4 linked regions of the Lonchura striata genome follow. The main gene of each other region encodes a partner of the protein of the gene in region 4 in a complex. Links are inferred from orthologs where the notes say so. Each region holds a gene or a part of one and is shown on either strand. Other genes may lie near its edges. The genes, in order: TMEM107, TMEM67, coiled-coil and C2 domain-containing protein 2A and CEP290.

Region 1 (7,450 bases), on a different chromosome or scaffold from region 4:
ATCCCAAAATAACCCCAAAATCCCCCAAAATATCCCAAAATAACCCCAAAAATCCCCAAAATTCCCCCCAAAATAACCCCAAAATCCCCCCCAGAACCTGCGGGAGAAGGGGTGAGAGAAACCCCAAAATCCCCCCAAAATATCCCCAAAAATCCCCCCAAAATATCCCAAAATAACCCCAAAAATCCCCCCAAAATATCCCAAAATAACCCCAAAAATCCCCCAAAATATCCCAAAATAACCCCAAAAATCCCCCCCAGAACCTGCGGGAGAAGGGGTGAGAGAAACCCAAAAATCCCCCCAAAATATCCCAAAATAACCCCAAAAATCCCCCCAAAATATCCCAAAATAACCCCAAAATCCCCCAAAATATCCCAAAATAACCCCAAAAATCCCCCCCAGAACCTGCGGGAGAAGGGGTGAGAAAAACCCAAAAATCCCCCCAAAATATCCCAAAATAACCCCAAAAATCCCCCCAAAATATCCCAAAAAAACCCCAAAAATCCCCCCCAGAACCTGCGGGGAGAAGGGGTGAGAGAAACCCCAAAATCCCCCCAAAATATCCCAAAATAACCCCAAAATCCCCCCAAAATATCCCAAAATAACCCCAAAAATCCCCCCAAAATATCCCAAAATAACCCCAAAAATCCCCCAAAATATCCCAAAATAACCCCAAAATCCCCCCAAAATATCCCCAAAAAAACCCCAAAAATCCCCCCAAAATATCCCAAAATAACCCCAAAAATCCCGCCCAGAACCTGCGGGGAGAAGGGGTGAGAGAAACCCCAAAATCCCCCAAAATATCCCAAAATAACCCAAAAATCCCCGAAAATATCCCAAAATAACCCCAAAATCCCCCAAAATATCCCAAAATAACCCCAAAAATCCCCCCCAGAACCTGCGGGGAGAAGGGGTGAGAAAAACCCCAAAATATCCCAAAATAACCCCAAAAATCCCCCCCAGAACCTGCGGGAGAAGGGGTGAGAGAAACCCAAAAATCCCCCAAAATATCCCAAAATAACCCCAAAAATCCCCCCAAAATATCCCAAAATAACCCCAAAAATCCCCCCAAAATATCCCAAAATAACCCCAAAAATCCCCCCAAAATATCCCAAAATAACCCCAAAATTCCCCCCAGAACCTGCGGGAGAAGGGGTGAGAGAAACCCAAAAATCCCCCAAAATATCCCAAAATAACCCAAAAATCCCCCAAAATATCCCAAAATAACCCCAAAAATCCCCCCCAGAACCTGCGGGAGAAGGGGTGAGAGAAACCCCAAAATCCCCCCAAAATATCCCAAAATAACCCCAAAATCCCCCCAGAACCTGCGGGAGAAGGGGTGAGAGAAACCCAAAAATCCCCCAAAATATCCCAAAATAACCCCAAAAATCCCCCCAAAATATCCCAAAATAACCCCAAAAATCCCCCAAAATATCCCAAAATAACCCCAAAAATCCCGCCCAGAACCTGCGGGGAGAAGGGGTGAGAGAAACCCCAAAATCCCCAAAATTCCCCCCAAAATAACCCCAAAATCCCCCCAAAAAATCCCAAAATCCTCCCGAAATTCCCCAAAATTCCCCCGGAAAATTCCCAAAAAATTCCCCCCAGAGACCCTTGTGGGAGCACTGGTCCATACTGGTCTGTACTGGTTTATACTGGTTTATACTGGTTTATACTGGTTATAATTGTTTATACTGGTCTATACTGGTCTGCACTGGTCTGTACTGGTTTATACTGGTCTATAATTGTTTATACTGGTCTGTACTAGTTTATACTGGTCTATACTGGTTTATACTGGTTATAATTGTTTATACTGGTTTATACTGGTTTGTACTGGTCTATACTGGTCTGTACTGGTTTTTACTGGCCTATACTGGTTTATACAGGTCTATACTGGTTTATACTGGTCTATAATTGTTTATACTGGTTTATACTGGTCTATACTGGTTTATACTGGTCTATAATTGTTTATACTGGTTTATACTGGTCTGTACTGGTCTATATTGGTTTACACTGGTCTATACTGGTTTGTACTGGTCTGAACTGGTCTCACTCACCCCGGCTCTGTCTCCCCCGAGGGCAGCGTGGGCGGGGCCTGGAGAAAGGGGCGGGGTCAGGACAAGACACGCCCACCCTCATTAGCATACACTGCCCCCGCCCATGCTCATTAGCATGCACGGACCCCGCCCATGCTCATTAGCATGCACGGACCCCGCCCATGCTCATTAGCATACACTGACCCCGCCCATGCTCAATAGCATGCACTGACCCCGCCCATGCTCATTAGCATACACTGACCCCGCCCATGCTCATTAGCATACACTGACCCCGCCCATGCTCATTAGCATGCACTGACACCGCACATGCTCATTAGCATACACTGACCCCGCCCATGCTCATTAGCATACACTGACCCCGCCCATTCTCATTAGCATACAGTGACCCCGCCCATGCTCATTAGCACACACTGACCCCGCCCATGCTCATTAGCATACACTGACCCCGCCCATGCTCATTAGCATGCACTGACACCGCACATGCTCATTAGCATGCACTGACCCCGCCCATGCTCATTAGCATACACTGACCCCGCCCATGCTCATTAGCATACACTGACCCCGCCCGTGCTCATTAGCATACACTGACCCCGCCCATGCTCATTAGCATGCACTGACACCGCACATGCTCATTAGCATGCACTGACCCCGCCCATGCTCATTAGCATACACTGACCCCGCCCATGCTCATTAGCATGCACTGACCCCGCCCATGCTCATTAGCATACACTGACCCCGCCCATGCTCATTAGCATACACTGACCCCGCCCATGCTCATTAGCATACACTGACCCCGCCCATGCTCATTAGCATACACTGACCCCGCCCATGCTCATTAGCATACACTGACCCCGCCCATGCTCATTAGCATACACTGACCCCGCCCATGCTCATTAGCATGCACTGACACTGCCCATGCTCATTAGCATACACTGACCCCGCCCATGCTCATTAGCATGCACTGACCCCGCCCATGCTCATTAGCATGCCCAGGTGCGCCACCATCGCCAGGAACCGCCCGGGCAGCAGCAACGCCATTGGCTGGAACGAGGCAGGGGGCGGGGCCTGGGGAGGGGGAGGGGCTTAGACCGCCCCTCCCCCTCCCCTTTGGCACCTCCCCCACCCTTTTAGCCCCTCCTTCCCCTCCCCCACCCATGGGACCCCCTCCTTCCCCTCCCCCACCCATGGGTGCCCCTCATTTCCCTCCCCCACCCATGGGACCCCCTCATTCCCCTCCCCCACCCATGGGTGCCCCTCATTTCCCTCCCCCACCCATGGGACCCCCTCATTCCCCTCCCCCCGCTTTTTTAGCCCCTCCCCCACCTCGCGCTCTCCCTCCCCCCCACCAAATGGCCAGAACGGGACCTCCGAGACCCCTCCCCCACCCTGGGGACCCTTCCCCCACCCTAGGGACCCCTCCCCCTCCCCCGGGACCCCTCCCCCACCCCGGAATTCCCGCGTTTTCCTCCCCTCCCCCCGCCCCGCGCGGCGCTGTTACCGCGGCAACGGAGCAGGCCACGCCCACCGCCCTGGCCACGCCCACCGCCCCTGGCCACGCCCACCGCCCTGGTCACGCCCACCGCCCTGGCCACGCCCATCGCCCTGGCCACGCCCACCGCCGCGCCCAAAGCTTGCCCGTCACACAGGCCACGCCCACCAAGGCCACGCCCACTTGATAGGCCACGCCCACCGGAAAGTGGCCACGCCCCCTCCCGGAGATTGGGGTGGGGATGCTGGGCTGGACTGGGTTATACTGGGATATACTGGGAAATACTGGGAAATACTGGGTTATACTGGGATATACTGGGATGTACTGGGTTACACTGCGTTAAACTGGGATATACTGAAATATACTGGGTTATACTGGGTTGTACTGGGTTATACTGGGTTATATTTGGATATATGGGGTTATACTGGGATGTACTGGTTATACTGGGATATACTGGGTTATACTGGGTTATACTGGGATGTACTGGGTTATACTGGGATGTACTGGGTTATACTGGGTTATACTGGGCTATACTGGGCTATACTGGGTTATACTGGGATGTACTGGGTTATACTGGGTTATACTGGGCTATACTGGGTTATACTGGGCTATACTGGGTTATACTGGGACATACTGGGTTATACTGAAATATACTGGGATATACTGGGCTATACTGGGATATACTGGGTTATACTGGGCTATACTTGGATATACTGGGCTGGACTGGTTTATATTGGGTTATACTGGGATATACTGGAGCATACTGGTTTAAACTGGGCTGGACTGGTTTATACTGGGCTGGACTGGGTTATACTGGGCTGGGCTGGGTCATAGAGGCCTGTACTGGTTTATACTGGTTTATACTGGGCTGGGCTGGGTCATAGAGGCCTGTACTGGTTTATACTGGGTTATACTGGTTTATACTGGGTTATACTGGGCTAGATTGGTTTATATTGGGTTATACTGGGTTATGCTGGGTTATACTGGGCTGGACTGGGTTATACTGGACTGTGCTGGGTCACAGAGGCCTGTACTAGTTTATACTGGGATATACTGGGCTGGGCTGGGTCATAGAGGCCTGTACTGGTTTATACTGGGTTATACTGGGCTGGGCTGGGTCATAGAGGCCTGTACTGGTTTATACTGGGATATACTGGGCTGGGCTGGGTCATAGAGGCCTGTACTGGTTTATACTGGGATATACTGGGCTGGGCTGGGTCATAGAGGCCTGTACTGGTTTATACTGGGTTATACTGGGCTGGGCTGGGTCACAGAGGCCTGTACTGGTTTATACTGGGTTATACTGGTTTATACTGGGTTATACTGGGCTAGATTGGTTTATATTGGGTTATGCTGGGCTGGACTGGGTTATACTGGGCTGAGCTGGGTCATAGAGGCCTGTACTGGTTTATACTGGGTTATACTGGGCTGGGCTGGGTCACAGAGGCCTGTACTGGTTTATACTGGCTTGTACTGGTTCATACTGGTTTATACTGGTCTGTATTAAACCGCAGTGCCTCACACCGGTTTATGCTTGTCCCTAATGGTCTGAACTGATCCATAACAGCCCATACTGGTCTATACTGGTTTATACTGGTGCATACTGGTCCGTACTGGTCCCCCGCGCCCCCCCCGCTCTCTGATTGGCCGCCGCCCCTCTTGGCCCCGCCCCTGTTGCCGGGCTGAACGGCCGCGCACAAAATGGCCGCCTCCCCACGTGACCGCGCGTTCCCCGCGCTGATTGGCCGTTCACCTCTCCGGCAGCGACCAATCAGCGGCGAGTCACGCGCGGGTGGGCGGAACGGCCGAGTGGGGGAGGCGGGGTGAAGGCGCGCCGGTGGGGGGGCGTGGCTTCGCGTGGCATCGACCAATGGGCGCGCAGCGCGCGCTGGGGAGGCGGGGATTCGTGGGGCGCTCACCAATGGGAGCGCGGCGCGCGTCCTGGGGGGCGGGGATGAAGGCGGCGCGGACCAATGGGAGCGCGGCGCGAGCGGGCGGCGGCCAATGGGAGCGCGCGGGGGAAATTTGAAGCGGCGGCGGCGGCGGCGGGCGGCGAGTGAGGGGCGGGAATTGGGGGCGATTTTGGGGGGATTTGGGGGGGATTTGGGGGGTCCCGGGGGGATTTAGGGGGTCCTGAGGGGGCTCCTAAGGGAAATTGGGGGATTCTGAGGAGATATCGAGGGAGTTGGGGGGTTCTGAGTGGAACTGAGGGGGTTTCTGAGGGGGATTGGGGAGTTTGGAGGGGAATTAAGGGGTCCCGAGGGGGGATTGGGGGGTCCTGAGGGGATATTGAGGGGAATTGGGGGGTCCTGAGAGGTTATTGTGGGGAATTGGGGGGTGCTGAGGGGAATTAGGGGGTCCTGAGGGGTTCTTGAGGGGAATTGGGGGGTCCTGAGGGGGAATTAGGGGGTCCTGAGGGGTTCTGAGGGGATTTAGGGGGTCCTGAGGGGGGATTTGGGGGTTCTGGAGGGATTTCTGAGGGAACTGGGGGGTTCTGAGTGCATTTGGGGGGTTCTGAGGGGGTTTCTGAAGGGAATTGGGGCACCCTGAGGAGATATTGAGGGAACTGGGGGGTCCTGAGAGGTTATTGGGGGGAATTGGGGGGTTCTGGGGGGAATTAGGGGGTCCTGAGGGGATTTCTGAGGGGATTTTGGAAATCCTGAGGAGATATTGAGGGAATTGGGGGGTCCTAGGGGGGTACTGGGGGGTCCTGAGGAGAACTGGGGGGTTTCTGAGGGGAATTAGGGGGTCCTGAGGGGTTCTTGAGGGGAATTTGGGGGTGCTGAGGGGGGATTTGGGGGTCCTGAGGGGGAATTGGGGGTCCTGAGGGGGAATTGGGGGTGCTGAGGGGGGATTTGGGGGTGCTGAGGGGATTTCTAAGGGAAATTGGGGGGTTCTGAGTGGAACTGGGGGGTTCTGAGGGGGTTTCTGAAGGGATTTGGGGCACCCTGAGGAGATATTGAGGGAATTGGGGGGTCCTGAGAGGTTATTGGGGGGAATTGGGGGGCTTTGAGGGGAATTAGGGGGTCCTGAGGGGATTTCTGAGGGTATTGGGGGGTCCTGAGTGGGTATTTGGGGGTCCTGGGGGGTATTTGGGGGTCCTGAGGGGTATTTGGGGGTCCTGAGGGGTATTTGGGGGTCCTGAGGGGTTCTTGAGGGGAATTTGGGGGTCCTGCAGGGAGATTTGGGGGTGCTGAGGGGGAATTTGGGGGTCCTGAGGGGATTTCTGGGGGGAATTTGGGGGTCCTGCAGGGAGATTTGGGGGGTCTTGAGGGGGAATTGGGGGGTCCTGGGGGATTTATGAGAAAAATTTGGGGGTCCTGATGGGATTTGGGGGGTCCTGAAGGGAACTGGGGGATCCAGAGGGGGTCCCTGCTGGATTTTGGGGGGTCCCCGCTGGATTTTGGGGGTCCCTGCTGGATTTTGGGGGTCCCCAATGGATTTTGGGGGTCCCCGCTGGATTTTGGGGGTTCTCTGCTGGATTTTGGGGGGTCCCCGATGGATTTTGGGGTGTCCCCAGTGGATTTTGGGGGTTCTCTGCTGGATTTTGGGGGTCCCCGCTGGATTTTGGGGGGTCCCTGCTGGATTTTGGGGGGTCCCCACTGGATTTTGGGGGTCCCTGCCGGATTTTGGGGTCCCCCTGACCCTCCGTGCTCCCCAGGATGGCTCAGAAGGAGAACGTGGCCCCCGGCCTGACCAAGGTGAGACCCCCCGTCCCCCTCCCCAATTTGGGGTTTTTGGGGTGACCCCTCCCCAATTTGGGATTTTTGGGGTGACCCCTGCCCGTGTCCCCCTCCCCAATTTTGGGTATTTTTGGGGTGACCCCTGCCCGTGTCCCCCTCCCCAATTTTGGGTATTTTTGGGGTGACCCCTGCCCGTGTCCCCCTCCCCAAATTTGGGTATT
Region 2 (8,279 bases), on a different chromosome or scaffold from region 4:
TTGAATAACATAATATACATTTTGCATATAAATTGCATACTGCAATTGCATACAAATATACAGAAGTAATGGAAATGGAAGAGTTCCAAGTGAAACAGCTTATATAATTGTTTGGAATTTTGTACCTATCCAGACAGTTCACAACCATACTGATTATATACCATGAAGAAATTGCATTACAGATAAAAAACACCGAGGAGAATGAAGACAACTGCTCATCCTCAAGCGCTACTGATGTGACTCCCTTCTCCATTATGACTATTTTATCTTTGCAAAAGCCTTGGCAGCAGATCAAAGGCAAATGCCACCATAGCAGTAAAGTGGAAAAAAAAGCAAAAGATCACAACACGAAAGGATATGTGCCAAAGTCTTTGTCTAACACAGCAAGAAGATGGAAAGAAAAGGGAGGTTACCAACATAGCCCATTAGCCACTGAACACCTAACTCAGGCAAGTAAGCTGCTCTCCTGGGAGTTCTTCTATAGCTATTGAAGAGAAAGAAGTATTCAGGAATGCTTCAAATGTTGATTTGATGGAAAAATACATTTCTTTGCTTACTATAGTGGGGAAAATCTGGTTTAGCCTGCTGTTTCGGGATCAGTGCTGAGATTATGACAAAAAATTATAACTTAATTTGTCAAGGAATGTCAGAAGAACTGATCAAACTATAATTTTAATTAAAGTAACATAGTAGGAACAGCTCATTTTGAAGTAAGAAGATGAAATATTCTGGATTATGAAGATACAGCCTAAATATTACAGTAATAGTATTTACATAAATAATCAGTTAAGATACCTATGAGCTGAAAAGCATCTTTAACAAGGTATAGAGTTGTGCTCTCTAGACAAGGACAAAGCAGAGAAGAAAAGCAGTGGAAAGAACTTAAATGCTTAAAAAATTATTATTTTGTCTGTGGGGCCAAATTTGTAATGAAAAAAGCCTACAAAATAATAGAAATAGACAACTCTAAATTGAAAAAAAATACTACATATTAGCATGTTCTTAAAAATTCCCAATGAAAGACTATTATGCAAAAATATTTTAAATTAATGAAAAATAACTTGCAGTCAGGATAAAATTTAATATCCCATAATGATTATGATTTGTATTCTATCATTATGGCAAACATGAAACATTCAATACTTACCATATTTTCTGGGCATTTTTCACAAGTAACAGAGAACCCATCATTACTAGAAACCATCCTGTATCCTGGTTCACATTCACAGGAACTACCTGAAGGAAAAAAAAAACAACAAATGCACTTTTAAGCTATATAGAACTGACAGGTTGCAACAGAATACTAAGAATAAATACTATTGTTCTCAAGAGATCAAGATGGATTATTAGAGACATAAAACACTTGAGTGAGATGTGAATGAAAATCATCCTGCTTTTTAAAAAACGCCGATGTTACAGTTTGCACATAGATGTTTTAGGAGAATGTTACACGGCCTCTGATCTACCAGGGTGGAACAGGGACCCAGAGCTTGTATTTTGTGGTTTGTTTTTTTTTTTTTAATTAAACCAAATTTTACCAGTTGGTCTGTAATAGATATAATCTCTCCATTAAATCTTGCCACAACCTTTCCCTCTACAACATAAAACACATTACGTGTTTTTATGTAGGTTTTACTTTTTCAATTTGAAGTCAGCCCTAAAACCAAAATGTGTTCCTGTGAAAAGGTTTTTCAAAATACAACTGTTGCATGAAAAACTGTTTTAAACCCAAGACTTTTAAAATTGTGCATGGGGATCAAGGTTTATATTGAATGGTTTCCAGTGAGTGAACAAAAAATACTTAATATTTTGTATGAAATTAAACACTATTTTAATGGAACAGTATAATGCCCATCTACTAGTGCTAAACAGTTTTTTTAGAAACTTTCCCTCTCTCAGTGTAATGAATTTCCCTCTGTATTTTTAAACACATAGCAGAAAACAAAATTGATTATATGTACTAATGAACTTTTTCTATTGTTGAAGCTTACTGAACTGTGCAGGCAAAAATAATGTCAAATTCTGTGGGAAGTTTATCACTTTAAAGTACATTCTAATGAGACCAGCTGTACAGAAACATTTGTTAAAGTGATCAAACATTTCTACTTAATTCTAAAGAAGAAAAAGCCCAATTGGATTAGATAAATGAAAAGTTTGAGTTGTGACACTCACAGTGACAATACCTAGATTTTTAGGCATGTGACCTAACACCAGAATCCAGACTGATGAGCTAGCCAAGATGGCCCAATTCCACTTGGGCTAGCCAGTGGAATTGGGCAATCTCAAGTGGAATTCAGTAAAGATGCAAACAGCACTGAGCAGCACCTACCTACACTGCTCCAGTTACATCTACAGGAAAAAATTAACCCTTGACCTCTCCTTGGAATTTTCCTCTCCTTGAAGCCCTTTATTTAGAGGAAGATTCAGCCTAAAAAGGAGTTAAGGATCTAGGCACCCTCGTTATCAGGGCATCTGAAAATACTGTATTTTCTTCCAGGAAGTGAAATATGGGGTTCATGGTGGTGGTGAAGGTGAGCAGTTTTCAGGCAGCAGCTGTGAACACAGCCCTGCCCATCACTACTTCCACCCAAACAACCAGCTCTGGACAGAGATGTTGTCAGGTCTTAGTCTCAAATTTGTACACAGGGAACTCCTACTCTTGTTGGACTGTGTATTTTATGAAAGATTAACCCCTTAACACCTCTTTATGGCCAAAAGAAAGCAGCCAACTACCTGTATTTTCCATTTAGTACTGTCAGGCTGTGCTGTATGTGCTCCAAGTTCCCGTGTGGGACTTGGACTAGAACAGGCACAGCCTGAGGATCTCAGACACTTGGTATCTCGGACATTCAAGTCTGACAAGGAGTTTCAAGGTACAGAAGTGCTCGAGAACATAAATTCAGGGTCCTGTAGAATTTCACAGATGAAAATGCAAATACAATATAACGCTCGAGGAAAAGAAAGGTTATTAGAAAAAGGTTGAAAGTAATTTCTCTGAGCTGTATCTCGGACACATCGCGGCTGTCTCAGAGCCGCCCTCGGGCGCGTTCCAGCGCCAGGGCCGGAGCCCGGCTGAGCACCTCCCGCTGCTGGGGACGGGTTCAGCCGGAGCCGCCCGAGCCCGCCTCCCCCACCGCTCACCGCCGGCGCTCTGCCGCTGGTGGGCCCCGCAGGGCGCGCAGGCCAGGCGGGAGCTGTCGAAGTAGCGGTCGGCGCCGCAGTCGGCGGGGCGCTGGAGCGGGACGGAGAAGGCGCGGGCGGGGCGCGGCGCCGCGGCCAGCGCCAGCAGCAGCGCGGCGGCGGCGGCCCCGCGGCCCCGCGTCGCCATGGCCACCGCGCGCGCCGCCCGCGCGCGCCCATTGGCCAGAGCCGCGCGGTACGGCGAGCGCCGGGGGCCCGCCGCCGCAACAAGCGAAGCGTCCGCGGGGCGCGGCGAAGGAGGGCGCGGCGGCCGGAGTTGATGCGTTTGGCTCGCGGAGAGTTTTGTGCGTCTTGTGCGGGACCAGGAGCCAGAAACGAGAGGACACCCCGGCCCGGTTTGCACTTTCCGGTACCTCGTTTCCTGAACTGATGCACAGTGCATCATCCAAATGGAACAGGTGCTTGTAACTTCTCCCCAGAGAGGGTAACAAGGTGAAAATACAAAATGCCGAGAGCAGTGGATGCTCAGCCAGTGTTACTGTTATACCTTTGTGACACTCTTGTTCACGTCCCACAGAAGCACAGAATGAGTCCAGTTGGAAAGGACCATAGCGGGGGGCTTGGTCCAACCTGCCTGCTCAAGCAGGATCATCCCAGAGCACATGGCACAGCTCTGTGACCAGAGCTCCTGAGTATCGCCAGTGAGGGAGACTCCACAGCCTCTCTGAGCAGTCTGTTCCAGTGCACCCGCGCAGTGAAGTTCTTCACGCTCAGGTGGAGCTTTCTCTGCAGGTTTCTGCCTGTTGCCTTTTGTCTCATTCCCTCAGTTGTTACCAAAACTTTGCAACACACTGTGTCCTGGATTTTAGTTATTTCTCATTGTGCCTCTCCTGCGTGCTAGTCGCCTTATGATTTTCAACATTAGCATGTTTTGTTTCTCACTGGATTTATTTTCTTGGCTCAACAACTATTAAAAGGTTGAGTTTATGTTTTCAAATCAAATTACCTGTCCCTAGGCTCACGTTCATGTAAATTTGATTGTGTAAAGACATAACTTCTTAGTGGTGTGCTTGATTTGTGGAAACCCCCACCTTGTACCCTGCACAAAATAAACAATGTCTTTTTTCTAAACGAGACTATCCGTGTTGAAACACATCCTAAAGTCGGTAACATTTCTAGGTGAATCTACCATAAACAGCACAGGGATGTTTTTCCTACATAAAATGGAGCAGACAAGTACTGGGTATACATAAAAAGACAAAGAACGTAAAGTCAGAGAAGGCAGGTAGGATAAACATTAGGATAAGTATACCTCGCTTGCACAACCAAAGTACTCGGCCTCTTCCCTTCCCTTTACTTAATCTTGAACCTTTCCTCTTTCTCCTCCGTTCCTCCATCCCTGCCTTCCCTTCCTCTCCCAGCCCAGGCAGGAGCCAGCCCCGAGCTGCGTTACAAATCGTGTCCAGGCATCCAAAGAGCCGTGAGGGGCGCCTGAGGCGCGGCACGCGCCGGCCCCGACGGGAACGAGCCTGAGCACAGCGCACCGTGCGGCGGCGGCGCTCGGTCACCGTGTGCCCGATCTCTACACACGGCTCTGTCGCCGCGCAGGTCTGTCACTGTGCCTATCCACAGACACAGCGATCTATCATTGCACAGCTCCCTCAGACCGACTTAAACGGGCACCGCACACCCCGCGCCGGGGCGGAGAGCGCATGCGCACTGCCTGCGGCGCGGCTCGCGCCCGCGCGCCGGTGGGGCACGCGGCCTGCGCACGCGCACTGCAGCGGAGGGGGCGGAGTCGCCCTGCCCGGAGGGTGCGCGCGCAGCTCCGCGCTCGCGCAGCTCCGCTTCCCCTCAGCGTTGGGGGGGGCAGGGGAGGCGGCGCCATCTTGGCAGAGCCGTGCCGGGAGTTGCGGGGCCCGTCCGAGCGGCGTGTCCGGTGGGTGCGTGGATGGATGGCGTGAGGGACAAAGCACGCCTCCCCGGGGTGCGACGTGTGGTCGAGGGCGCCGCACAGTTTGCTGGTTCTCGGTTACCCGACCCTCGCGGAACCGGTGCGCGGCTGCTCCGTGTGCCCCGGCCTTCTCGTGTCCCTGGGCTTCCCACCACAGTTCCCCGCTCGCGTTGCTTCCCGTCGCCCTGTCCCGGTGTCGGGAAGCAGGCGGGCGTCTGCGTGGGGGCGGGGCACCGGCGGCCGTGACGGGGTGTGGCGCGGGGCGGCCTCCCCTCGCCCCGTGCCCCCCGCCCCGTGCCCCTCGCCCCGTGCCCCCCGCCCGCTCCCGGCCCGGCCGCCCGCCCGGGTCTCCAGCAGCGCTGGTGCCGGCGGGGCGACTGGCTCGGGAGCGGTCCCGTGCTACATTCGATCGTGTAGCAGGCTCAGCTGCAGGGCTCACTCGTGTTTTCCTTCAGCACTGTGAAAACTGCTATTCGCAGCAGACTGCTTCCTCTATTAAGACTTATTTGAAGTACAAAATAAGAAACCATCCCGTTTCGCTGGTTATTCTATATTGGTCCAGTTTCATAGACGGGATGGTTCTGTGGGTGTTCTTTCTAGCTTGCAGTCTGTTTAATCTTTCAGTGTTATGATAAAAATCCTAGTCTAGTGCAGACTTAGTTTCCTACCGCGTTTACAAGTTGTGAAGTATTTTAATGGCTTTAATGTTTGGAATTTCCTGAAACTGTGGAAGAATAGGCATTGTATTGTTTTCTAGCCAATTTTACTCATATATAAAATTTCATAAAACTGTACACTTCTGTGTTTTTAAGCTGTGGCATGAAGTTGTTTATTTATTCTCCAAATCCTTGCTCTCTGAAGTCCTTGTTCAGTTAATGAATTGCTCTTACTTTTCATGACAAGTCAACTCTTTTAGGTTATGCTCTTTAAACTTGGATGGCTTGTCTGTGCTTTCTGTCTGTATGTGATGGTTTACTATACAGTCAGTAAGAGCTATTATTTGAACTTGCATTTGTTTATGGACTTCTTGGAGGTCCCATTTTGATCTGGGACCACTGTGTCTGGTCTTCACCACTGAAGGTTATGTATTGTATCTCTGGTTCATCATCAAGAACTTGCTGTTTATCACCGAAGAATTATGGAGGAGAGCTGTTGTGAATTTTGCTTAAAAATTGGGATATGAAAGCGGAGTTGTTAATCCAGAAGTACTACAGATTAAATACATCATGAAGTAGCAGGGCAGCGGATTTGCTTTATCAAGACATGAAGGTGCTGTATGAAAATGCTGCTCTTGAATTCTCCATGCTTTTTTGGCACTGTCATTGCATCTGTTGAGAAGACACATTATAAAGTGTTCTGGGTCTGGCTGGGATGGAGTTAACGTTCTTCACAGCAACCCATACAGTTCAGTTTGGATTTGTGGCTAAAAGAATGCTGACAACGCATCAGTGTTTTGACTGTGGCTGAACAGCACTTGCACAGTATCAAGGCCTTATCAATTTCCCTTCTCCGTTCCTGCAGTGAATGTGCGCAGAGTAGGTGAGAAGCTGGGAGGGAACGTGGCTGGGACAGCTGACCCAAACTCACCAAAGGGACATTCTGTGACATGTAACGTTGTGCTGGGCAAAAAAAAAAAACAGGTAGAGGAAGAAGGATTTTAATGGTTTTGGTTTCTTTGGGAGGTTTTTTCTTGGCTCTCAAAGCAGTTGTTATTTGAAGGAAGGCTGGACATCAGTCAGCCTGTGGGAGGTGGTGACTGATTTCCTTTGTTTTGTGTTTTTCTTTCCACTGATGAAACTGTCTTTATCTTGATCCACAAGTTTTCTTGACTTTGTTCTTTCCCATCCTGCTGATGGGGATGAGTGAACAATCAGCTGTGTGGGTGCTTGGCTGATGGCTGGGGTCGACTCGCCACAAAAGTACAGAGAACAGATGGTCTTTAGTGAAGTTTCTAAATGGGCAGTTGTTTTCGGTTTGTTGTGCTTACAGAGTACTGGTGCAGAAGTGACATGGAGTTCGTTAGTGACAGTATTTGGGCTTTGCTCTTGTTTTGCTACGTTCAGGTGGAGTGACAGTAATGGTTATTGGTAGGTAACTCATTGATAGGTAGATCCTATTGATAGGATCTAGTACTTTATTGAGCAAGGTTTGCAGGAGTGTTCTCAAATGCTTGGAGAATTGGGCTGTTGTGTTTATTTTAAAGGGATGTAGTCATTTGCTACAGAGGCTTGTGTTGTTCTGAGAATATTGTCCTATGTATTGTGTGATGTTAGAAAATGTTGAAAATCAGGATGTCTTGTTCTTATGTTTGAAAGGCAGTAGAGTAAGGATTTATGGAAAATACTGCAGTTGGCTTTGTAAATTCAAGTACTTCCTGAAGTTTCTCCTTGTTGGATATTTTTGCTCTCTCATTTGATGGGCTTCACTGTGTATGTGCTGGACTGGTGAGTAGCATACTCTTGTTGTGAAGTTTGAAACCAGGTGGATTTCAGAAGAATGGATGTGTCGTGTAATCCTGAGATGGACCTAAGCACCTTTCAAGAACTCAGTTGAGAACTGTTCTCTCGATACTCTGTCAGACTGTTTCATTGCAACAGTTCAGTGTGGCACAACTGAAGACCAAGTAATCTCATCGTATTTACATCGTTTCCAGAAGTCAACTTAAATTTTGAGTTTCTTTTTCTTCTATAATGGAAACAGAAAGATGTGGTGCATGGCATCTTGGAACATGGAAGGAGTTCTTCACATGGGTTCATAATATGCTTGGCTTTAGTATTAGCCACTGCTATGGATGGGCTGCAACAGTGTAGCACAGTGTGTAAAGCAAATTACAGGTATCAGCCATTAATTATGTTTCATTTTCTTTCCACAGTTAAGTTGATTTTACAGAATTTATCAGGTCTCCAAAGCAGAAACAGGTAAGCTGTCAAAAGCTTAACACTTCTCACTGAGTATTGTGACAAGATCATACACAGCCTTTTTTCCTCACAGACTAGTGGCTGGCAACTAAGATATGCTTGTGGCCACTGCAGTTAATACTCTGACTACGCCAAAGAGACAACATTTTTGAATGCTGAGAAAACATACATTATTGAACAGAACTGATACTGGGTAGAGCAACTTGTCAAAGCAGTAAAGTCACCACTGTTTGTGAGTTACTTCATTTTCCAGTGACATAGTTATT
Region 3 (7,876 bases), on a different chromosome or scaffold from region 4:
AAGAATAGCAAAGACACTTGGAATTACACTGAAAATACCCACTGAATACTGACTATCTCCAAGTTTCCAGATCTTCCAGTTTTTAATTTCTTTATATATTTGATAGCTTTGTTCTAGTCTTTTATGGCTGCTATTGAGTAGTCCTCAGCTAGTACAAATCTGCACGTACCTACTGTGAGGTTGGTATGAATGCTATTTGTTGTCGTAAATATCACGAGACTGGTCTTGTGACCTGTGCAGTGGCATCCTGAAGCAGTGATTCCTATTTTATTCCTCTCCTATCTGTTTTAAATGCATTGCCCATCTTAAAATGACCAACAATGATATTGCAGTGAATTGTTCAATTTTACTTTAATGTAATATACAAAATAACCATTCTAAAATGCAAAATAATACATTTTATATCAAATCCAATGTACAGTATCTTAAATTTGTTTAAATAGTATTATAAATGTAATTTTAGGAAAGAATCAGTCCTGGAGTGATGCAGTCTTTTGTTCATTACAGTTCATTTTGATATCCCTGCTGTTCGTTAAAAAAAAAAAAATCCATCCTAGGTTCTAGAACATTCTTACGAGCTCAGATTTGGTTCCAATCAAAACAAGAATGAACACCCAGAGATTTTTTTTTTCATTTCAACTTTGTTTTCCCCACACAGATGAATAAAATCCTATGCTGGGGCCTCCAGTTTGAATGTCATTTGACATCTGCTTCAGAGCTCATCTTCATCTGATAAAGCATCAAGGTAGTCTGTATCAACATATAAGAGAAATCCAGAAAACAAACTGTCTGCCCATGTTGGATCAGAAAAGAGACCATTTTGGTCAGTGTAGAAGATTTCAAGCCATACTTCATCTTCTGGCTGAAGGTAGATCACTGTGGATCCAGAAGCAACGTCGTGGTTGCCGGTGTTGGCATCAAAAGTCTTGATCCGGTACTTGCCATTGTGCACCAGCCCAATCGCAAGATGCTTGTTGGCTAAGGTGATATCGTAAGAAAAATAATAAATCCCTGGGATGGCACAAATGAACTTCCCTGTGGACGGGTTGTAATGCTCCCCCTCATTGAAGAGGACTTTATTGAATACAATTGGTAGTCTTTCCTCTGGGTAGCTTGTGGTGATGCCAACAGAAAAGGCAGATTTCAGCACTATCTTTCCACACTTGCAGACCCCTGGTGCACCTGGCTCTCCTCGGTCTCCTTTATCTCCCTTAGGTCCAGGTGGTCCAGCTGGACCTACTTCACCTTTGGCACCAGTCAGTCCTCCAGGTCCTTTCTTACCAGACTGACCTTGGTCTCCTTTCTCTCCAGCTGGTCCTAAGGGCCCAGTCTTTCCTCTTAAACCTTCAAAAACATTTTAAGTTAGTTAATCGTTAATACATATCACCTCAGTAAATGATTGTGTGGGCTACTGCGTGTACCTGAACAAACAAGAAAAACATGGTCAGAATTTCAAAATATCTAGAAATACTTTCAAAGTTTTCTAGTAAGTTTGAAAAAGGAATGCCAGTAATTCCTACTTATCTTCATGTGTCTTGATTACACATTAAAGAATGTTATATGTAATCAGTCTATTGCCGCCTGAACTAACAGGCACTACTGATGGCAGGGACAGCAGCATGACTACCTACGTAGTTATACTTGTGTGCTAAATATTTCCTAAAAATAGAGCATTTTTAGTGCATACCTAAGAACCTTCTAATTATTAACAACTGGCTAATGGCACAGGTGGGGCACCAAGCATGCTTCATTCTTTCCAAATCTTTTCTTAGCATCTGTGCAAAGAAAGGTTGTGCATTTACATTTCTTTACACTGATATATGTGCATACTCTTACTGTATTTATATATGCATCACACTTAAACCCACACAGACACATACACACACTCATCTATATAAATATACAGATATATATATACCTATATATACATAGATAGATAGATAGATAAACAGATAGATAGATAGATAGATAAATAAATAGATAGATAGATAGATAGATAGATAGATAGATAGATAGATAGATAGATAGATATAGTGATGATGATAACAGTGATGATGAAAGGTCTTGTTTTCTTGCACTACTGTGTTAGGTTACACAAATAATCAGTACCTGCACTCCCTTTTTCACCTTTTTCTCCCTTCCTGCCATCTCTGCCATCTCTTCCTGGAAGACCAATGCGTCCATGAGGCCCCGGGGATCCGCTGGCTCCAGGGGGGCCGGCAGGGCCTGGCAAACCTGGGATGCTGCAGATGTATCTGGTGTAGTAATTTTCTCCTTTGGTCTGGCTTTGAAGAGGCTGTTCGCTTGTGTAGATGGCAAAACTTGTAATGTACAGCAACACAAACATCCTCAGATCTGGAAAAAAAAGTTTAGTAAGACACTCTTGTCATATGCAAATAAGCGTGACACTGTGATGCATTATGCACAAGTAGAGGTGCAGACCTCAGCCTGAAATTTCTGCATTACCAAAATCCGTGTAGGAGGCAAGGAGGAAAGTGTGAGGTTGGAGCTTTTTCTGGGCGCCTTACATGTTGCTGTTTGTCTTTCAAGTAAGTAGCTGTAGACTGACATAGTGTAACTGGTGAATATCAGCTTTTTGGGGCCAAATGTTGACATGTGAAAAAATAATCTGGATTTTTTTTCAATTCAAAGATCTTTGAATGCATAGTATTTTGTCTTTGGTCCCTATATAAACTTTACAGATAAAACCCTTCTTGCTGCAGGGAGTTAGTGAGGATAAAGCTTACACCTTCATTTCATTTTGAAATTTGCACTTATGGTGGCAAATTAATCTCCATCTTAAATAACTGCAGCAGAAACTTGCTGAAGCTGGAGAAAGGATGGCAGTTAGAGAGCTACAGCTTCAGGTCCCCTTGGAAACAGCACAAATAAACACTTCACCCTCATCTGTCAGGTGGAACCAGGCAGCTGCCCTGCCCTGCAGGGGATGGTGGAGTGTGAATGGACTGCTATCAGGCTGAGTTTTTTAAACCTGGCTTGGGCTGTCATATACAATGAACTGTGTTGCAATATCTTGCAAGAAAATTGGTTAAATCCTAATATATGGTATTTGGGTGTTTTCATAAGCGACTGGATAAAAATTAGATTTCTCTGTCCCACTGTGTACTGGGATACTAAAGAAAAGTAACTGTATAAACAGTGACATGCTGAATAATTGCAGTACCTGATATACAAAGGCGTCTTAAATTTAGTGTTGCATTAGCAGAGAGTCAGTCATGGGTCAGGTGAGAACCTTCAAGTCAAGCTGTTATTTCTAGTTCCTTTGATGTCTTCTCAGAAAATTTGTGTGAGTTTTTTTATTGGAGCTGTCCATTCTGTCAGAGCTAATTTACAGCATTCAAGGAAATCAGAATCCACAGGTTTCTGTGGGAAGAAAGAGAAAAAACAGAATGGGCGATTGAGAAAAATGTTTGTGAAATGCAGTCTATCTTTTCTTAACAGTGAATCACAGACTAATAATTAAGGTTGGAAAAGACCTTTAAGATAAGATTATTGAGTCCAGACATCCACCTAACATCATCACCATACTCATCACTAAACAATGTAAAATCCACATGTTTCTTGAAAATCCACATTTCTCTTCCAGAGATGGTGACTCTGCCACCTTCCTGGGCAGCCTGTTCCAATGCTAGTCAAGCCTTTCTGTGAAACCAGTGAAGACAGATTTCCTGCTACTCAATCTAAACCTCCAGTGCCACAATTTGACATTATTTCCTTTCACCCCGTCACTTGTTCCCTGGGAGATGAGACTGACCCCCACCTGGCTACCACCTCCTTTCAGGGAGTTGTACAATGTGATAAGGTCTCCCCCAAACCTTAGGGCTAAACAGCTCCCTCAGTAGCTCTTCATAGGACCTGTGCTCCAGACCCTTCATCAGCTCTGCTGCCCTTCCCTGGACAAGCTCCAGCACCTCAATAGATTTCTTGAAGTGGGGTTCCAAAGCTGAACACAGGATTTGAGGAGTGGCCTCACCAGTGCCCAGTATGGGGGGACAATCACTGCCCTGGTCCCACTGGCCACACTGCTGCTGGGACAGCCCAGGTGCCATTGGCCTTCTTGGCCACCTGGGCACAGCTGGCTCGTGGTCAGTCACTGTCACCAGCACCCCCAGGTCCTTTTCCACTGGGCAGCTTTCCAGCCACTCTACCCCCAGCCTGTGGTGCTGCCTGGGGTTGCAGGACCTGGCACTTTGTTGAACCTCACACAACCAGCCTCAGCCCACTGATCCAGCATCCCTCTGCAGAGCCTTTTAATCTAGAAATTGTTGTTCTCATTCTCCCCTCTGTGATAATGATTAACATTAACTGATTTATTTAAAACCCCAAGCCATTACATTTATTTGCAGTTCATGGTGTTTCAGCTGCTATAAGGATGGCATGGTCAGGTCTATTCAGCAAGGAAATGATCAGCATATATGTATATACATGCACATATACATATACACATACATATACACAGTCTTTATGAAGAATCTTTTATTTTAAAGAGCGGAAAATTAGAAACTGTTATGGTACCAGTGGTAATGCAGTTAAAAAGACGAAAATCTTTTGGAGAGAAATAATGCTCCAAAATTCTCTTTGGTGATAGATATTTTGCTTTTCATTTTAGACATCTTGCATCAAATTGGCAGAAACCAAACTATTAATTTTGCTGTTATTTGATAAAACCTTACCATACAGTCACGCATAGCAGTCTCCACAAATGGATTAGCATATGAATGCTGAACAATACAGCAGAGCAGTGAATGATGACTCCAAGGCAGTTGTTAGCTACAAGACAAACCTCACAAAGACGTTTGCTCTGATGTACTACTGAGAAAACTCAAAAAAAGCTTATGGACTTTCATGGGACTTAAATCAGGGACAAAAAACTCTTTGCAGAAAAGAAAAACTTCAAACACTTAGCCAGGAGGGAGCAACTTGGAGGGACTTCATGCTTAAAGCTGCATATGCATTTTACACAAAGCTGATGGATAAGAAGCAGACATGACCTAAGGATCAAGGACTGGAAAAAAATCCTGCCCTTTGCCAGATGAAAGTCTGAATCAGTAGGCTGGATATTCCCACACTGTGTTGCATGTAAGCCAGGCAAAAATAATCTCAACAATTTCTAGTTTTGCCAGTGTCAAGGATATTTTACAAATCAGAGTAAAAAACTTCACACAGCTGTTCCTGTCACTGGCTGGCCAGTACCTTATTGATTTGTGAAGCTGTCTCCAGCTCCCAGACCTCCCCTGCTGTTCTTCTCATGTGCCTACAGGAAATTAATTAGTTTGCGACATGTATTTCTGAAAAGACCATGGGAAAAATGTCATTTGGGGAAGGTGAGGGGAATATGGTTGTTGAGATAGGAGTGTAGGGATGTACCTTAGATGCCTGGGGCATGGTGTTTGGAGAACCAGTTTGGGATGGAGAAAGCATAGAGGACAATATACAGAGATTTCATCTATGTGTTGGGGGTCTTAAGGAGTGAGGGGCTGTGTAGCTGAATGGTAGGACTGCAGTTAGGCAAACAGAGCTGGGCTTGGGAGAAAATTATGATAATGGTTGAGGTGATGATGTTTACAGACCTGAATTTATTCTTGGGGAAACACAGAAAGCTACTTCCAACAGTGGGAGCCAAAAAATTACATTTGGGAAACCATGCATTAAGCCAGAGAATCAGGAATTCTCTTGCCCTTTGAATTCAGACTCTTGCATTTTTTTGTGCATAACAGTAGTCAACTTATAAGGAGGGGGTGCCTGTCTGTTATTGCAGTCTCTTGTAAAACAACTAAAAAAGAAATCTCCTCAGACCACGGAAGGGAGAACAGTGTTGAACCCATGCCCCCTGTTTCCCAGTGAGTGCCATTAAAAGCATCACTGAAACATTAAAGGTGAAAAAGAACATATGACCATGGCTTTTGAAAGTTCAGGCTGACTTAGGAGGCCAAAGAGATTTCAGTTCACATGGTTTTAAGAAGTTAGAGGGTATAATAGACTTCCCAAATCACTTTGTCAGGAGTCATCTATTGTTATAGTTTTATTGTTGTAGTTAAATATTTGTTCACAGAGAGTTAACTGGGAGGCAGAATGTGAACCATAAATAACACTTTGTTCTTGGCTTTTGGTTGTCCTTTTCAAAGATAAAAAACTTTTGTCCATAAACTGGGGTAGGAAACAAAGTCATTTATACATGCCAAGTGATTTGTCTCCAGAGAAAAACAACATTTGAGAAGTTCAGTGTATTTTTCCAAAAACTGCAAGCCAGAATAAGCACATGGTATTCTTCTTCAGAACAATAGCATACATCTTCATCATAGCCATTACCAAAAATAATAATGAAAATTATATAAACTCAGAGTTAGAATAATGTTATTCCACATTTAGGAAATGGCATTTCAATAAGTTTCAAATCCACTAGGTAGAGGAAGAATGCAGATCAAGGCATTCACTGGAAGATGATGGACATGCTGATCAGTTATAGTCATAGAATCATGGGATGGTCTGTGTTGGAAGGGACCTTTAAGATCATCTAGTTCCAGCCTCCCTGCTGTGGGCAGGGGCACTTTTCACTAGACCAGTTTGCTAAGAATGGTTTCTGAAGCTGTCCTAGGTTGTAAGATAAGCTTGTATTCTATTTGCCATCTGTTGAAGGCAAACCTGTTGGACAGGTTTTGTTATCTTTTCCAAGAACCGGTTTTGCTCCTAAGAGGTAATGGTTTGTTAGTGGGCCATTGACTGATTCAATGCAGGGCTGGTAAATGTAACACCGTGAGGGGTCCCACCCAGAGGGGGAAGCCAAGCACTCTATTATTGTATAAAGGGGTAGCTTTTTGGGGAGAGAGGCAGCTCTCTGGGCGGGACTCCGAGAGAAGCAGCTCGCTCTCTCTCTTCGCGGGATTCCCAGAGAAGCAGCGCTCTCTCTTCTTTCGCGGGATCTCGCAGCGAAACAGCCGGGGCACAGGGAGGCGGCGGCGGAGCTCAGAGGCAACCCCGGCGCAGAGGAAGACCGGCCCCACTGCCACCAGATCTTCAGAGGAAAACTATACCCTTCTAAAGATCACCACTTCAGCTGCAATTCATCAACCACTGCAAGGGGATCAATTGTCCCAGCAGAACTGCTACTGGCACCCCGACTCCTCAGGTTCTGGACTTTTTTTTTCACTGGTTTTGTTTGTACCGATTGCATTTGCCTTTTTAAATTGTTGTCTAGTTTTCTCCTAGTAAAGAATTGTTACTCCCATTCCCACATCTTTGCCTGAGAGCCTTTTAATTTAAAGATCCTGGTAATTCAGAGGGAGGGGGGTTTGCCGTTCTCCATTGCACAGGAGGCTTTGCCCTCTTTCACAGACTCCTGTCTTGTCGAACGAAGACAGAAGCAGATTTTCCAAGTGAGTTCTTAAAGTTATCTGATTCATTTAATACTGGAAAAACATTCAAAAAGCTTTCCTGGACCTTGTTGCAGTCTGTTAAGGTGGCAGGTCTAAAGAATCAAAAGCAGCATGGCCAGCAGGTCAAGAGAGGTGCTTATGCCTCTCTACTACACTCTTGTGAGATCCCACCTGGAATGCTGTGTCCAAATCTGGGGTCTTCAGTGAGGACAGACATGGACATCCTGGAGCAGGTTCAGAAGAGACCACAAAGGCAATCAAAGATCTGGAGCAACTCTCCTATGAAGTGCTGAAAGTCAGTACTTAAAGGTGGTACTTTTGCAAAAGATGGAGACAGAGTGTTTAGTAGGGCCTGTTGCAATAGGACAAGAGGATATGGCTTTAAACTAAAATAGGGTAGATTTAAAACAGACAGAAAGAAGACATTTTTAATAATGATGATGGCAAAACACTGGAACTGGTTGTCTAGAGAGGTGGTCGTC
Region 4 (7,965 bases):
CAGCACAGGTACTTTACTACTTCTGACTTGCATTCTGGCATTCTAAGGTCTTATTTTCTTGAAATGTACCATAATGATACACAGAGTTACGAAAATTACTTTTTTCCACCTGCTTTGATTACAGGGTACTTTTAATGCTTTTGCTGACTTAAAGCATAAATATGGAATAAAAAAATTGCATTCCTTTATGTTAGCATAACAATGCAGATTTTGAGCAAGTCTTGCCATCAGAACTACCACCTCCTATCTGCTACTGTAGCTGGGTCCACCTTCACACTCCAAACTCCAAACCTGCAATGATCACCAACATGTTGAGAATGCAAAACTAAAGCAGAGGTTTATAAAAGATCATCTGTACTTGGTAAGCCAGGCGAAAGTATGACTGCCATTAAACTCAGTGGAAAACAGCAACTGCTTCTTGGCAACCAAAATTGCTTTCACACCAACCAATCTATTATCAGTTTGATGTTGGAAAGTAAGAAGCCATGTAAGGAGTATATAAGACTGAGATCCTTGCAAATCACAGACGTGCAAGAGGCTGCTGAAGCCTTGATATGACTGGGCTGCTCACGTGAGTGGAAATAATTCTCCTTCTTATACCCAAGTGACATGCTGATCAACCCAAGTATGGTCTTGCAAGTGCCAGAACTTCACATCCAGTGATGGATGTATTTGATAAACACCTGCAAAATGTTGCTTAACAACTTCTTTGTTAAAAGAGACTTGCTGCAAGGGTGAACTGCCCTTGTTCCACATCACTGCCTAGTCCTAAACATGCAAACAGACTGAACATCCCTCAGGTTATTTTTTCATCTCACCTACCTACTACTTTGACAGCTTCTAAGACTGCCCCTCAGATACCTTAACCACCCCTTGGGTATGACTGCCAGCTTTTGGTCTAGTGCACAGCCACAGACTGGATGAAATCAGGACAGACATACTATATTACAAAGACTTCTATTGGATACTTTAATTTACAACAATATCTGACCATCATGAAGAATATACAGATGAAAACAATGAACAGCAAGGTAAACCTTGATAGTCAGAAAATGCACTGTAGTCATCAGAGTCAACTGCAAAAGAAAGAATACCCAGGCTGCAAAACAGCCTATCATTGGACTAAATTTCTGAGGCTGTTTGGCACAGAAATCTGCACTTTGCACTGCACCATTTTCACATTTGTACAGAGACATTAAATGGAAAGGACAAAATAGAACCAGAACTCTCAAGTCCATTTGGCTCATAAAGTACATAGTTTTCCTGTTCCAGCTTCTTGAGATCAATCTAATACTTCACGCAGTCTTCAAGAATAACAGACAAGAGTAAAACGTAAGAGTCTCACAAAACTGAAAAAAAGCACCGAGAAAAAACAAAGTAACAACGACCAAAATAGTCAAAGCACTTTTAGAATATAAGAAAACACAAACATACATTTAAATTTGTTTCTTCTATTGAGTAATGGCACTTGCATGGATTGAAAGGCATTAACAACGTGCTAAGCCAATTTACTAAAGAATAATGAGGCAATACTGGATATTTATGTACTAGACACAAACTTTATTCATCACTGAAGGTTCTGAACTGCTTAGAACATTATTTACAGTTCACGCAAAAAACCTTCAAATTATCAAAGGTGATAAAGTTAAAAGCTGTTAAAACCACTCCTAGGGTTACTTTTATTTTTAAATAGGTGAGCAACTATTTTTAAACAGGTGAGCAACTAGTTCATCTAAGAGCTGGTAGCTGAACATCAGCAGAGATATATACAAACCGCTGGTACAGTCACTTACAAATTAGGATATTAGCACAGCCTCAGAAGCTGAATTAAAATGATATTTTTATTTCCTACTTGCTAGCCTTTGCTTATTTTTGCCACTTCCAAGACACAACTCCAATATGAAGCAACTTAGATGCACAGCTGAGATTGGGCTTGAATCTCATCTAGAAAACAAGTATTTGGAAATATGAAAGGAGAAATAATACAAAACATGCCTGAATTTCCTTTTTATCTTGCTGAAATCCTAAACCAGGATAAATATTACACGAAAAGTTTTATTGTGAAAACCTTCTGCAAGGTTTTCACTACCAGATCAAGAGGCATGGGACTACTAGGAAATACTCTTCACTATATAGGAAGCTCATGGCCTCCAGCCTTCTCTTCACATGGTTCTGAAGGATTAATGAGAAGAGCACTGGAAGTTCTGATACAAAGTCAGAACACGTGTTGCAAGCCAGATGAAAGATCTCCCACTGGAAAAGAACTTGCTGGCCACCTGGCGGCTGGACTAACAGTTGTGACATCTTAGGTTACTCTGATGAAACAAGGACCAAAATGTAACACAGTTTAAAATGGGTGAGACAAAGATACTGATTTAGCTGGTGGTTTATCTTCAATTTGTTCAATGTAACTGGTACATGCCACTTGAAATATAAACCACACAGGTCTTGCTTGTACTTTAAGGACTTAGAAACTTAAATTAGTAACAGAATCTCACATTTCAATGTTAAACAGTAGCAAAATAATACCCAGTCTGTTTAGTGACTACATAAAACATCTTTTGTGGCCTTACTGATACAAAAAGTGTCTCTAAAATAACACTTATCGCTCTCAGTGTTCCAGAAATGCAACAGCAGAAACTGCTTGCTTGTTTACTCCAAAGAATAAATGAACAAAAGCTACATGTGAGGTATAAACTGAGAACACAGCCTTTAGACTCTGCTACTCTGTCCTTACTTACGCTGGGTCTGTATACGATTTCCTCCGTACTTTAAATAACATTCCATTAGGCTTTTCAGGGTGAGGTTTTTCTGTTAGGTCTTTGCAAGGGCACACTGTTATCAAAGCTGTGATTTAACAAGTATGCCTAACTCTTCTAACAGAGTAGGTCAAACCGCTCACTGTGCAGTTGAATTTATTTATTGGCTCCAGAACTGTAAGTATCTAATCCCACTAAAAGAAGATTCACTTACACAAAGTTCATCATATGAAGTGGTGCAAAACATAAGAAAAACTAATTTACTTGGTCCATGCCATGCTGTATTTTGAATATTTTCATTTTCATTTGGCATTAATACTTCAATTCCTTTTACTGTTTTTTAACTTTTGGAGTTCCCATGCCAGCTTCAAATCCAAATACCTTTTACTTCTGCACCAATGGTCTTTACTAGCTGCACTACACAATTGAAACCCAGATATGGTTTCACTACCAGTAAATGTAATAACATGCTCTCTGCTGATTCTGCAACAGAACACTCAAAAATGCTGATGCATATTAAATAAAGTACATTAAATAGCTACACTGGCATTAACAACTGGTTATGATGATGATGATTTTAAAAAAAACCTCCTATACAGAAGCATTCTAGCATCAATGGAATATTTTCTCTACCACAGAAATATTCCTTTCCTGAAGGCTTAGTTTGTGACTAAGGTGACATTATTTTCTGTGTCACTTCCTATACCTATAAAATTCCCTGCTACTAAGAAATCATTGTTTTACACTTAATCATAATTAATTTTATAATTTTTTAATTTTTAGTAACATTACCCATTCATTAAATATACCCAGTCTTCTTCCCTTCCCTAAGTATACAGTTTGCTTTCTGTACCTAATACAGAACTATAATTATCCAACCCCTAGCTGAGATATGGAAGTCTTTGGAGTTGTGCTGTGACTGGAACAACTGCATAACTATAAGGAGTGCAAGGCATTTTGCATCTTGTCAGTCTCTAGTAAACATCAACATGGATTAAGAGATAGCAAAACAACTGAAAACAATTATTAATCCAAAAAAAGGACGAAAAAAAAAGGACCTTTCTCTTACCATTAAAAAGAAACAAAAACCCCAAATCCACTTCAGCTCTCCACAGCTATTGAAAAAACAAATGCAAAAAGATAAACACGCCTACAATGGTACTGTTTTTATTTGATAAGATGTTTTCACACCCATTTAACTAAAACACAGGATCCCAAACTTCCTCCGTTATCAGACCACAACCAAAACTCAGACTTGCTGGCTAACAGTACCCAATGGATTCAAGTAGTTTATAGGTGTGATTTTTCCCGTGCCTTCCGGCCCCCACTGTTCCCTCCGTATTCCCAAAGCACAGGCGCACCCGGGCAGCCGCCGGCCGGGCAGGAACCGACACGCTGCCCGCAGCTTGGGGCGAGGCAGGGAAGGAAAGGGCAGGCTGGGCGGCGGAGCCAGGGCGCGGTCCCGGACGCCGCTCAAGCGCCGTGGCAGCGGTCGGGGCCGCCCGGCAGCGCGGCAGGCGCGGGTGCCCAGCGACGCGGCACGGCGGGCACGGCCGGCGGACCGAAACCACCGCGGGCAGCAGCTACACCGGACCCCTCCACCCTCCCTTCCTCCCCCCATCCCCGGCAAGGCCCGTGGCGGGCCGCAGGGGCCGTGCCCGCCCTACCTGAGGCCGGGACAAACACCGGGACCGGGACCGGGACCGCGGCCCCGCCGCCGGAACCGACACCCACCGCGCGCGCCGCCGCCGCCGCACACGGCGCACGCGCGCCGCGCCGCTCTCCGCCCCCTAGAGGCTGTCGGGAAAAAGGCGGGCGGTGCGGTCGGCCCGGATGCATGCCGGGAGCTGTAGTCCCGTAGACCCCGCCCGGTGGCGGGGGCGGCGCTAGGGGCCGTTGCCCCGGCGAAGCGGCGCTGTCGGCGGGGATCGCGCCCTGCCCGCTTGGCTGCCCATCGGGACCGGGAGAGCCCGCTTGGCGCCGTGGGGCTTGTCTGTGGGTGCCACGGAAGCGCTGACTTTCCCTGCGCCCACGAGTATCCGGATCTGCGGGAGAGTCCGATGGCGTCGCCTGGCAGCGGCCACCGTCATCCCCCGGGAGCGGTGAGGCCACGGGGCGGGGGGTGCTCCGGGCAAGGAGACCGAAGCTGCCGCAGCCCGAGCGGCCCGCGCTCCGCCGGGAGCCCCGGGCCGGGGGCGGCGGGGCTCTCCGCTCCTGCGGGCCCCGGGCGGCGCGGGCGGCGGAGCCCGCGGCTGGAGCGACCGCCGCGTCTGCCCGCGGCTGCTGCTCTGCGCGCCTCGCTGCGGGGGCGAGTGCAGAATAAGGCAAACTGTTAGTTCAGTAGAGCTGCGATGAAACGGGGACAAAGCTGTCTCAGCAGCATCCTGGAGGGATCCCGGGCTGTCACTGTATCCTGTGTCTGGGGTATGCCAAACAGGAAACAATGGGAACCTGCGAAGATCCTCTCTTGATTGGGGTTTTGTAATTAAGATCTTGTGCTTCGCAGAGCTACTCCGGGTAAATGCAATTTGAAAGTCGAAAGCAGCTTAAACTGGAATACCCAGTGTAAACAAATGCGGAGTTAGCAGATCACATCTCCCGCGTGACTGTGGTGCTTCTTGATGTTAAGTCTCCCTCCTGTGCACATTACTCTGCTGCCCATTATACACACCCTGGTGGGAAAAGGTCAGCTCTTCCCAGTGGTGCTTGATCTCACTGCAATGGTAAGATATTTCCATGTGAGCTTGGCTCGCGTGGTTTCCTGTAGTCAGACCAGGGCACTGTTGTTCTGGTAGTACTTGAGCATACCCTCCAGACTTCCTTTTCCATCTAAGTCTGCTGAACTTTATCTGGCCGTTTTATGTGTGCTTAATTCCCTGGATAAATCCAGAAAATCTTGTGGTAACTAATACCAAATCCCCATCTATTTCACACATTTTGTAGACCCATGAGCTCAGCGCTTCATCACATGGATCATCTGTTTACTAAAACCACGGGTTTTAGTTGATGACAACAGATGAGCAAAATGATGAAAAACTTTTCACTTAAATAAATTCTTTCACACTATGTATATACTGTGGAACATAATCCGTGCATAGGTTGTGCCCCCCTACTTTACTGTAGCTGCTCTCCCACCAAGTTGGATTCAGTTGTTTATGTACAATTCAATTATGTTTTATCCTTCTGGATAAAACTTTAGGACTGATATTTTCTTAGGACATTATTTTGTAAGCTAAGGGGAAAAGATATATGAAGAGATGGAAGGTAGGAAAGGATTAACAGTAGTGAGTTTGTGTGTTTGCTTTCAGAATAGTTTTGATTGTTGAGCATTTAAAAATCCTAAATTTTACATCTCATTACTTAAGAAAAAATGAATGTGTTTAAGACTTTTGATCCTTAGACAAGTATGTTGCTGAAATCAAGTAGTATTCAGTTAACTGAATGAGTCAAAGTGCCAGTATTCTCCTTGGATTATCCTTTGCCATTACAACAAAACAGAAAAGCAATAATGTATACAAGGTGTTATCCTTGTGAAGTCATGGGTTGAATATAATACATGTTATATGATTAGCAAATATTGAAGAAATTTAGTAAATATAGGGGACCTTTCAAGTAGTTCACATACTCAGAAAGGATGAAGGTTTTTTTTATCCTCCATTAAGTGTACAGTTGTATTTCTGTGACAGCTCTTCTTTCGGAGTGCTTAGACATATTTGTTTTGGAAAGTAATATCAGTTTCAGCCTTTTATTAATGAAGGAGGTTTCAGTTGTTGAGTCTTTAAACTGCTGAATGAGGAACAGGGTGTGTGCTGGATCAGATCTCAAAATGCTGTATTCCGTATACAGCATTGCTGAAGTTATTGATTGAGCTTGATTTTTTCCTATAAAATATATACCCCTGCTGTGTCATTAGTTTTTTTGAATAATACTGCATTTACTATTGTAGTTAGCTTTATTTCTTTCTTAATTTTTATTAACCATTTGTGCTATAATAATAATTTAGGGCAATAAGTCGATTAAATATATTCTGTTCTAAATTTGGCAGAATTTACTTTTTGAAATATTGATCAGAAAGTCTAGAGACAGCTCCAAAGAACAGAATAATCCAAGATTTCCTATCCCTTCTGCCTTTTTCAGATACTGCATTGACTTTCAGGTATGTGAGAAATCACTGTGGCCCACAACAACCAGTAGGTAAGCAGTAGAAAAAGCTTTACACCACTTTCTGATGAGATTTTTCTCAGTTTCCAGGTTTATTAATGTCCTTTGTCAATTCAAGTATTCTAACCAAAAATAAATGTTTAATACAATGTCAAGAAGTTGGTGCTCACAGTATCAAACTGAAAGTGTTGTGTTTTAAATATTAGAGATAATAATTCTTGTGTTTGTTCACTGGCATAAAAATACCAAATTAAAAGATAGGGAAGAAAACAAGGATATTGAAGTTAACATACAGGTTTCATGTGTGTCCTGATCTTCACTAATAGTTTTAAGAATTCATTGAGTACGGATGGTGTAATTCTTAACATAAAGAAAAAGTATTTTTATTATAGCCTCCTAGATTGCAATAGATCAAAATGTGAACAGAATGTTGATCAGTGTTACAGTTATTAGAAGTCATCTGGTGTGTTCAGTGGCCAGCCTCCATTAAATCATTTGACCTAAAATTGGTTTGCACTGATAATACCTGATAACTGTTATTTTAATCTTTGTTCCAGGAAAAAAGAAGTCATACCTTCAATATGGCACCTGTTTTAGATTGGAGGAAGCTCATGAAAGTTGATCCAGATACTCTGCCTCATCAAGAGGAGCTAGCAGACAGATTGCTGGATATCATGGTCAAGGTGCTTGAGAAGAAGGGAACTTGAGGGTTTTGTTGTACCTTCTTCCCTAAACCATTTCTGGTCCTTCACATGCATGAAAGATTTATTTTGTGTATTTCATTGATATTAGTGTAAAACCACTTTTGTCTCTTTTGTTAGGTTGATGGGAAGGACTTAAAAACTGAAACTCCAGAAAAAATGATGCATCTTTTTAAGATTACTCAATCACTACTGAAGGTTTGTATTAAGGCTTACTTTCTTCAATTCTGCAGATGCATTTGTTTTGTGGGTTTTTTTATTTTTTGTTTGTTTGTTTTTGTGGGTTTTTTCTGTTTTGGTTTGGATTTTTTTGTTTGGTTGTTGTTTTGTTTAAATGGAAGCAT

The links.
Region 1: CEP290 (region 4) and TMEM107 share a complex: the UniProt entries of both Homo sapiens proteins name them as parts of the tectonic-like complex. The link is inferred for Lonchura striata from reciprocal best matches to the Homo sapiens genes CEP290 and TMEM107.
Region 2: CEP290 (region 4) and TMEM67 share a complex: the UniProt entries of both Homo sapiens proteins name them as parts of the tectonic-like complex. The link is inferred for Lonchura striata from reciprocal best matches to the Homo sapiens genes CEP290 and TMEM67.
Region 3: CEP290 (region 4) and coiled-coil and C2 domain-containing protein 2A share a complex: the UniProt entries of both Homo sapiens proteins name them as parts of the tectonic-like complex. The link is inferred for Lonchura striata from reciprocal best matches to the Homo sapiens genes CEP290 and CC2D2A.

What each region holds. Positions count from the first base shown.
Region 1 is NC_134636.1:1,519,996-1,527,445, reverse strand, and holds the start of TMEM107 (transmembrane protein 107), read right to left. Parts: upstream 3,118-7,450; 5' UTR 3,096-3,117; coding exon 3,024-3,095; intron 2,096-3,023; coding exon 2,058-2,095; intron 1-2,057. Other genes in the region: aurora kinase C, read left to right, coding at 5,520-5,602, 7,208-7,247. UniProt on the Homo sapiens protein: Plays a role in cilia formation and embryonic patterning. Requires for normal Sonic hedgehog (Shh) signaling in the neural tube and acts in combination with GLI2 and GLI3 to pattern ventral and intermediate neuronal cell types.
Region 2 is NC_134603.1:24,491,629-24,499,907, forward strand, and holds the start of TMEM67 (meckelin), read right to left. Parts: upstream 3,241-8,279; 5' UTR 3,142-3,240; intron 1,237-3,141; 5' UTR 1,205-1,236; coding exon 1,148-1,204; intron 1-1,147. UniProt on the Homo sapiens protein: Required for ciliary structure and function. Part of the tectonic-like complex which is required for tissue-specific ciliogenesis and may regulate ciliary membrane composition.
Region 3 is NC_134606.1:15,063,709-15,071,584, reverse strand, and holds the start of coiled-coil and C2 domain-containing protein 2A, read right to left. Parts: upstream 3,261-7,876; 5' UTR 3,185-3,260; intron 2,356-3,184; 5' UTR 2,348-2,355; coding exon 2,110-2,347; intron 1,345-2,109; coding exon of another isoform or gene 713-1,344; exon of another isoform or gene 607-712; intron 1-606. UniProt on the Homo sapiens protein: Component of the tectonic-like complex, a complex localized at the transition zone of primary cilia and acting as a barrier that prevents diffusion of transmembrane proteins between the cilia and plasma membranes.
Region 4 is NC_134607.1:51,704,806-51,712,770, reverse strand, and holds the start of CEP290 (centrosomal protein of 290 kDa), read left to right. Parts: upstream 1-4,614; 5' UTR 4,615-4,861; intron 4,862-5,265; 5' UTR 5,266-5,482; intron 5,483-6,896; 5' UTR 6,897-6,953; intron 6,954-7,477; 5' UTR 7,478-7,501; coding exon 7,502-7,603; intron 7,604-7,741; coding exon 7,742-7,819; intron 7,820-7,965. UniProt on the Homo sapiens protein: Involved in early and late steps in cilia formation. Its association with CCP110 is required for inhibition of primary cilia formation by CCP110.